2 linked regions of the Drosophila melanogaster genome follow. The protein of the gene in region 2 purifies or fractionates together with the protein of the main gene of each other region. This does not show direct contact. Each region holds a gene or a part of one and is shown on either strand. Other genes may lie near its edges. The genes, in order: app and Dlish.

Evidence for each region.
Region 1: the proteins of Dlish (region 2) and app purify together in Drosophila melanogaster (affinity purification with western blotting; one study listed by BioGRID). This does not show direct contact.

What each region holds. Positions count from the first base shown.
Region 1 is NT_037436.4:12,263,665-12,268,771, forward strand, and holds the start of app (approximated), read right to left. Parts: upstream 3,178-5,107; 5' UTR 2,991-3,177; intron 2,083-2,990; exon of another isoform or gene 1,928-2,082; intron 1,247-1,927; 5' UTR 957-1,246; intron 1-956. Other genes in the region: CG32100 (uncharacterized protein), read left to right, coding at 3,966-3,986, 4,094-5,107. UniProt on the Drosophila melanogaster protein: Palmitoylates Dlish which is required for the apical cell cortex localization, total cellular level and full activity of dachs.
Region 2 is NT_033778.4:17,721,350-17,725,733, reverse strand, and holds Dlish (dachs ligand with SH3s), read right to left. Parts: upstream 2,426-4,384; 5' UTR 2,295-2,425; coding exon 2,249-2,294; intron 1,963-2,248; coding exon 1,839-1,962; intron 1,779-1,838; coding exon 881-1,778; 3' UTR 678-880; downstream 1-677. Other genes in the region: Snx16 (sorting nexin 16), read left to right, coding at 1-35, 96-232, 292-352; CG10934 (uncharacterized protein), read right to left, coding at 2,732-3,316. UniProt on the Drosophila melanogaster protein: Required for the apical cell cortex localization, total cellular level and full activity of dachs.

The sequences.
Region 1 (5,107 bases), on a different chromosome or scaffold from region 2:
AATTCAACGCATCTTCGATGGGAACTCTATTACGCGTGTCGAAATGAACCTATTAAAACAATTCGAACAAAAGGAATACCTATGTATACTGTCGCCATGTCGCGTTAAGTGCAGTTAATATGCATTAATTATCGACGGCAACAAAGATGCAAAATTAACGTAAATCAACCGAATATTGCAATTTTCGCAACAGAAATCGAATGATAAATAAAAAAAAATTAAGAGTTAAATGCTTGCTGAGCTCATTATTTGCGAAATGGAATTTATTAACGACTTTTATTTGCTCGAGCATTAACAAATAAATACTGTGGATACATCATTTATTAATTTACATAATTAATGCCTTACTTATAAGTACATAGAACTCTCCCTTGAACCTAAAAAATAATGTTCAATGTCTAGAAAAGTTAAGTAAGTTATCTGACATGGCAATCTTGATTCGATAAGAAGTGAAACATATATAAAAACTGAGTATTAATAAAGTTCGAGATTGATAGCAACATTGATAGTAAATCAGCATTCACGATGTTTAGGCAAGTTTTCAAAATTTTCATGAAGAAAGCTGATGTGAAAATGTTGAAGTCCTATAAAAATTAGCCTATTGATATTACCAGGCAAATAATTGCGTAGTTCATTTGATGTATTTGCTTTAGTTAGTATGTAGAAAATGTTTAGCGTCTCCATTCAAGTTGCTTTGTGTGTGTACTTAGCCCACTTGTATTGAACTTACTCATCGCACAATGTCGACAATATCGCAAGTATTTCACACAATTTCACACGATTCGCAGACAGATAGTGGTATAGTGGTAAATATACAAATATAGAGGGAGTTACGAGTAACTCTCAATGGGGCAGCAAATACAAGTGGGAGGCATTTCGAAATACTCCAAAATAAGTGGGGCCAGGGTCAGGGGTGTAGTATGTAATATATATATATATATCTGAATAAAACTCACCTCGCTGCAGATTGTGTACTTAATTTAGGCGATGAGTTGCCAGCAGCAGAAACAGAAACATTGACCTCGGAACACTTTTCGACATTCGCCTTCGATGATGATTAAGTACTCGAATGCTTTTCGATTACACGCGTTAATTTCACGAAAATATAGTTTAATGGACTTCTTTTTACAGATTTTCGGTTAAAATAGTTGTGGATTATACAGTTTTTAAAATAATATACAGTAGATATTGGTTTGTCTTCATTTGGTTGTCGAGTTTACTTTGTAGTTAAGGTGTTATAACTGTGCTGTTTTCAATGTTGGAATATTTAATATTTTCAATGCTAGTTTTATATTTAATTAATAAGTCAATTTTGCGGATATTTGCTGTACATTAAAATATACATATTTCATATTTATATATTACATGTTTACTTGCGCATTTTATTGCTTTCCCTAAACAGGTAAAAATTCCAGGAAAATAAACAATTTTTGGTGGCTCAGTTGTGGATGTTTATAGACTTGATTTCAATAATCGCATATTTACACTTCTGAATTTTCGTTTCTGATAAATATTTACGCGATATCTTGAAATCGCCGAAAGTGTAACAACATTTCGACGACCTACAAATCCGGGTGAAATAAAAATGATTCAATTTAGTGGGTTAGTCGCAGCGACTAAATGAAAAGCACCCCGCGATTGAGGTGTAAAATGAGGTAATTTCGAATTTAAAAACCCGGAGACCAGGTAAAAAAAAGTAAAAAAAAAAAAAAAACAAAACAAAACAGGTTTTTAGCGATGATAACAAGATGGAACTAAAAAAAAGGGGAGAGAAAAGGGAAAAACCGGAAAGCTAGACGCGATAAAAAAAATGCTAGTCAAGAAAGCGAAAAGCAGCAACTAACTGTATTCCTATAGAGCATATTTTTAAGGAAATCAACCCAAGCACATGTGGTTTTAAAGGCGACAAACAAACAAACATACGTACACAACCACATGCATCATCTGTTTGTAAAATATTCAATGGAATCCAGTCACGACCCGCCGACGCAAAGACAATTTGCAAAGACAGTCTCGCAATCGCAAAGGCAGAACGACGGCAAATGCAGCGGAAACACAATCGAAAGAGCAATAAAAACTATGCCGACACAAAACCAATTAAATATAGTTGCAGTTAATTAATTATAAACCGTTTGGCGAAACGAAAATAAAACACTGGTGGGCATTATTGATATTTTTAAATTTTTTGGCGTCACTGACACAATTCGCGCTCTCTCGCTCTCTTTTATTTGCCTTTTCTTTTGTTGCTTTGCATGTGTGTTGTGTTTCCCTTGATTTTTTTTTATTGTTTTGTCTTGTTTGTTGCTTCTTTTTATGCTTCTCTCTCTTTGGCAGGAAGAACGAGAAACAAACTCAAAATTCTCTGAATATTTCTTTCATTCGGATTTTTTGTGCTGAGCTGCTGAGCAAAGAAAAAACAACAACAACAAACGCCAACGCGCCTTCTCACACAAGCACAATCAGACTCGCACACACATGCACAGTTCAAATTAGTTGGGGCAACAACAATAAGCGATGACTATTGTTATTTAAACACGGCTGCTTTTTTCTCTCTGCTCATCGCTGCAAAAGCCACGCGACAATTGTTATGTTTCAACTGCATTTGGGGAAATAATACTTTAAGAACGGTACATAAAAAAACATTTAAATCAGCACAGTTTCGCGAAGCAAAGGCAATTACAAAACCAAACACTTGAGGGCGCCGCGACGTGTGGAAAAGAGACGGCAGAGCCAAAGACAAAGACAGCTGAGAAATACGTGGAAGCGGTGATTTTCGATTTGTTTTGCTTTTGCTTTTGAACGTCAATTCTTCAATCTATATTTTTACACACAACAATATTTTAAAAACGTTTATATTAATAGTTGTTTTTGAACACATTTAGCGCCAAAATCTCTTCATATTTTCCCGGCGATTTATCGGATTTACCGATGTATTTTCAACACAAGTGCGAATCTTTTATTTTTTTTATAGGATAACCAAAATAATTTACCAATGTTTTTCGTCTTTAAATATTTGAACTTTTAGGGAAACAGCGTGCGCATTCAGCGCTCTCCCGAATTTAATTGAAATGCGCGCCTCCGGTGCGAAAATTGGAGTGAACCCGACGCAAAGTTGAAATGAAAACAAACTGACGACGGTGTGTCCGAATTTCGGGTGTGTTAAAACACTTCTGCAATGCTAACAGAGCTCTGTAATGTGGATTGTTCTACTGTTGCCATACGGTCACACACTTTTAAGCCGCTCAAGTGCTTGTGACACCACTACATTTGATATATAAATTAATATGCTTCTAAAGAGCTTAATTAATCATAAACTAGTTCATCTCTGGAATTTTGTGCTTATTGTTTGCCCTAACAATTCAGACTTTTGAAATCTTAAAACCCAATTCCTTCCATTGTACTGGACTCCACAATGTAGTGTCGTAGCGGTATAAGTATGATCTCTCTGTTAAGCGCAGCAACAAGGTGGCAGCGCTTGCACTTCCGCTAACGTTAAAAGTTTGAACAACCCGGCAAAATATTTTAAATAATTTAAATAAATAAATAATAATTAAATAATTTAATAAATAAAACACAAAGCCTTTCATCAATTTTAAAGAGCTGCCTATATTATTTTGCTAGATTTTGCTTGTGCTTTTGTAGTAAAACAGAAAGATCGTTAATGAGGAATATGAAAGTGTTTTTACTAAATACAACTTTACCAGAATCTTTGGCATAAAGCCAAAATAATACTTAATATGAAATATGTTCTTATCAAACTTGCAAATTCAATTTTCCCGCCAAATGTAAAGTGTGACCAGTTACAAGTACCAGTCCTTGTGAGCCTCTGGTTTTTTATTAGCTAAAAGCGGCGGGCACTCCGCAACTCAGCTGATCGATCAAACAAAAAATATTGATACACAGGAATTTATGAAAAAAAATGCGCAGCGTTTAGAAAGGAGAAAGTATTTAGTAGCACGCACGAAATGGACAAGAATCTGGATGAGGTTTGTGTTTGTACTCTCCTTTTTTTATATTCAGCCCCCTAAAACCGAATGGACTGTGTGTTTTGACTGCTGTTTACTGATACACGCCCCAATTTTTCATCGCCCAGGTCAAAGACACCGTACAAAAGAAGTTCAATGAAATCCGTGCTGCGTTGCATATGCGCGAGAAGTTGCTGCTCCGGCAACTGGAGGTCATAGCGAACACGCGACAGCAGCAGCAGCTGCTGAAGAAGTCGCCCACCGAAATGGAGAACTCGAACTCGGTTGGCAAGAAAGATCAAAGTGGTGTGCGTTTCATTCCCGGGGAAAGCGAGGATGCGGAGGAGAAACTACTGACAGCCATCCGAAGCTACGGACACTTTCTGCTGGACAACAGTGATATGCAGTTGGCGCTGCAGGATTACCGCACCACGGGTTTGAGGAACGAGGACTACATAGAGCCACTAGATGACCACGAGACCATGTACAAGTGCCTGCAGGATGGGCAAGTATCGTATCTCGATCTGGACGAAGACGGTGCCCCACCAGAGGCCATTGTGGTCGACTTCTCTCGCAACAGAAGTCTCGTCGAAGATAATGCCAAGCGCTCCATTATCAACATTACACTGCAGGAGGCAAAGGATCTGATAAAAAAGGCCAAGATCAAGAGGGATACATATGTGCCGCCCTTAAACTTGGAGGAGCTGGATGACGAGTTGGAATCTTCGATTGCCGAAGCCGTTTCCAGCTTGGGGCGAGAAACCTCTGCCAAATCAAAGAGCAGCGTACAAGAACCACCGAAATGCAAGGGTCGCAAACAGCGCTTCAAGCCAAAAATCACAATCAACAATTGCAATGGCACGATCAATCTGCGCAACATAGCCAGCCTGACCATCAACTGCGCCAGCGAAGAGGCGGTGAGTGCAGAGATGCCCCTGGCCAAGTCCGCCGATTCCAGTACCACCGAACCCTCGAACTCCACGCCCACCACCACCGCCTCCAGTTCCAATTACTCCAGTAATGCCAGCTCCCGTTCGCAGTCCAAAAAGCAAAAGGCGAACAAAAAGCTGGACAAGATAGAGCGTGAACCCAGCTCGGATTCCACTCCTACGCCTGGACAGGCCCAGCGGTACGAGGAGACC
Region 2 (4,384 bases):
CGCCTTCGTACTCTGAATCCATGGAGGAGTGTCGTGTAGGATGATTTCTTTTTCATGTATTTATCAAATCTATATAAGATTTCATTTACTTCTAGGCAATTTTCGAAGCTCAGGAGGAGACAATTGAGCATCTGAAGCTGCAGATTCGAAATAAAAACGATCTCATTCTCAGTTTGCAGCAGAAACTGCGCGAGGAGATGAACGAGAAGGAGCAGCTGAGAGAAGCTATGAAGTAGGATAACAATTTCTTTTACAAATGCAAAAATCTCATTAGCCAATCTCTCTCTACAGAAATATGGAGCTTAATTGCTCGCACTGCTCCTCAGCTAGCGACAGTTTGGGAATAAAGTAGACCTTCGCCAATCGGAGGTGATAACCAAAATCCAGTTGGACGTGCGTGTGCGTACAACATTATGCTGAGCATAACTCTACGCAACTGCGCCGCTTGGATGCAAATCCAATACAATAATACAAACCAAGTGCATATCGAGGGGTTGGCCCCTACAGTGCTTTAGTATTCATATCTAGACCTAGATGCTAGCAAAGTGCTGCCCACGCTGGTACTATATGGAATACGATAGTAGATATTTTTGATATTCGTTTACGAGGCACTTACAGTTAAGAATGAAATCACTAGACTAAGTGTATACGATATGTTATGCAAACTCACATACAAAATAAATCTAAGGCACAATTTATTACTCAATGAAAATGGCATTTATGAGTTGAAAATTAATTTAGTGTTCAAGATAAAAATATCCAAGCCACAAAGAAACGCTTTTCGAAATGCAATTCGACTGTGTTTGGAAGACTTACGAATATTACGCTTTAGTGTTAGTCGAAGTGATAATTAAAACGATTATGGTATTGAATCTATTTCTTAAAGGCTGGTCATCGCGGGTGGTCGGGCATAGGCTTTCGGGATGAATCCATATTTGCGGGTTTTCGGAGCATAAGCCCAAAGCCAGCCATCAACAGTCTGATTGGTTAAGTCTGCGTAAATCCAATCTCCTCTCCGCACAGAAAGGTACAGATCGTCTGGAGCTTGCGCTTTGTAATCATACAGCATCACCAGCTCCGTGCCATGGTAGCGTAGATCATCTGTTCCCAAGCCCAATTGAGGCTGCTGCTGTTGCTGGCTCTGCTGACCTTGTTGACCCTGCTGCAAAATGGTCTCCATGGCATTTAAAGTGGCTTTCTGTTGCTGCAAAACTCGTACACTGTCTGCAGGATAAATAAAGCTGGCTGGCACAAATCCTTCCTGGCCATCACTGCGCATTATCCAAAACCAATCGGGATCCTCGCGATTTAGCACGGTAACAAATTCACCCCGTTCCACAGACAAATCATTCTCGTCCCTGGCTATAAAGGTGTACAAGACGATACAGCGCCCGGAGGGTTCCTTCACGAAAGGAGTACACTCTGGCTCCACCAGCAGGGTGTTCTCTATGCTGTTGGCGGAGCCAGGATTCAAGGTTTCATCGCAAAGAACATCCAGCTTGTTATCCGTGCCCAAAAGTGGTATATTCTCTTCGATCGGCTGCTCTGGACACTGTTCCCTTGGCAGTTTCTTCTTAACAGCCAAATCCGCCAGTTGCGTGTTGCAGGGAGCACAATAAGAGAAGGGTATGAAACCCTCCTGCCTAGAGTCCTGACCAATCACGTAGACCCAATCGTTCTCTCTGTACAAGATATTAACCAGCTGTCCACGCTTCACCTCTAGTTCATCATCCACGCAAGGAGTAAAGTCGTGCAGCACAACCATCTTGGAATCAGGACTAAAATAGAATTAATATTGTACAGACTATTTAAACTGATAATGGATGGGATCGACTTACCTTAGACCGTGTTCCTTTTCAATGCCCACTCTTACAAGTGTTTCAATGCTGGAGGAACCAGTTATGCGGCCCATGCCCAATACACCCACAGCTGGTAAGTCCCTCTCAATGCTGGCATTTGTAGCTGAAAAGGGAGTATTTTGAAAATGCTTATTTAGGTACAATATATGTCGTATTTAATTAAATTTAAAATAAAATGTATATCTTATGCATTCAATCATAATATAGTTTCAAGAAAAAAAACTTGAATACAAATATTTAATTCAAAAAGAATTCTTGTACATTGATATACAAAATAAATGCACCAATAAACAGATTTAAACAATTTCAATTTTTTTAAGTTCCTACAACAAGTTCGTGATTGAAGTCTTTTGTTTCCGTGCTGCTTCTTCCGCTTTCTATGAACACACCTTTCTTCTTGTCGCGCCTCATGCGCACGGGGCAAAGAAATGCCATCTCTTCCCCCCACTCGGAATTAAACCCCCTTCAACCGAAAAACAACAAAATTTCGGCTAATTGCTTAATTTCTTTATTGTTTAGATCCGACACAACGCTCTTCTTCTTCTCAATATTCTCTGGTGTTAGAGGTGGAATTCATACGATTGGCTGATCTTGATGATGTTGTCCGTTAATCGATTGTCGCGAGGCGCCAAAATTTGAAAATAAGTTGGTTTTGTGTGTACGTGTTGGCTCTGCTCTTTCAAGCATGCAAATTTCTAGTAAAGCGTAAACTGCTCTTGAGCAGCACCTTCGATTTGGGTGCAATGCACCCGGGCCGCCGTTTACCTTGATAATTTATTACGCGTGTTTTGTGGGCTAATTCAATGATCGAAAGCATAGAAAAACTGTGTTTAGATTGGGCGATTTGATTGATCCAGTTTCTGCGACAGCTTCTATTTTTTGCGACCACGCACGGTGCTCTTCTTGGGTGTTGATCGCTGGTTGCTCTTTCGGGTAGGACGCCGCGGACCATCGCCTAAGTTCTCATCTGTCTCATAGTATCTGTACGTCCGGCGATTTGGTAGGGCGTAGTCCAGGGCATGAGTGACCATTATCGCCTTGTAGGTGCACGCCACGGACATGATAAGCTGCCCCAAATAGTAGACATCTTGGCGCAAAAACATAAAGACTTTTGGATAGGCTTCAAAAAGGTACATGCCGGTACGAGTATTAACTGCATTGTCCCGCAGTTTATTCATATGGCTGAGCAACTGGAGCCACACAAGCACCACGACCTGGGTGCACATATAGAAGACCAACAGTTCCAGCAGCAAAAGCCAAAGCTTCTGCAGCGGTGCGCAATTCATTACCCTCAGATGATGGAGAAAAAGCACGGCGGTCAGGACGAACAGCGCCGACGGAAGATCGGGAATATGCTCCATGGGCAGCACATTGCATCCGGCGATGTATAGACACACGCATCCCACGCTGCCAGCCACCAGCTCCGTGACTTCGTACATTCCCTGTACAACCACCATTTTAGTCGTATACAAAATGTGAACGAATGATAGATTTGAGTTAGCTCCAGGCGCTATGAATTGTGTTTGGAAGGTGTTACTTTACTAGATAGTAATGGCTGTATATCCAAAGTCTACTGAGCTCTATTTAAAACTTTATATTGTATTATAGTGATGTAACTAAAAGTCCAAATATATGTGAATTTTGTAATGTAATAGAACATAATAGGTTAGAGATATCTGGATTTTTTAAGCAATACTTTTAGTAGTATAAACATAATATATACATTTAATTCAGAGTGCATTTAAAACCCTCTGCCCCACTGAGACCTCGTCATTCTTAGCGAGCGTCACTTGCGCTATTGGACAGCATTGAAAAAAGAGGGGCCAATGCACTATTTTGGTGCCAAGGATAAAACTTTCGCATGCAATTTTCGATTATAATTCAGCGAGAGAATTTCGATGGAAAGGGCAAGGAAACAAAGAGTCTCAGCAAGAGAGGATGGGTCCAAAGAGAGAAAGTGTCCAAACTGACCTACACTTCGTCGTATCCCCATGTGCACATACCCCAAACTAAATTGCGCATTAAGCATCTCGAACATTATCCCACCAGCAGCAGTGGCGTGGCAGCATCAGCAGCAGGTGCCACACCCCCAAAAGACCCCCTTCAACTTGACTTTTGACTACTACGCAGTTGATTCCACATCCGCATCACATCATCCATCCCACAGCCCACATCGCACATCCCAGAAACCCATCCCCATGCCCTATCCCAAGTTTTATTAGAGAGAGCTGTCTGCGTTGGGCTTTAATCGATAGAGAGGATTCTGCGCAGTCCTCCACTCCTCGGATGCCATTCACAAAAAGGGGCGGCCAGTGGGCGGGGCAGGAGGTGGTTGGGTGGGCGAATCGAGTGGGTGCTCCTCGCCCAGCACACTCATCATGGCTGTTGTGTCTGCGGGTAATTGTTGCTCGGACCTCTGATGGCCAAAAAATGAGACTAGACAGCGGGCCAAATTAAGAGGAATGAGGCGGAAAATGGGGTAGAATGCCAGCTCCGGGGCGGAAAAAGTGGCTCACTGGCTTTGT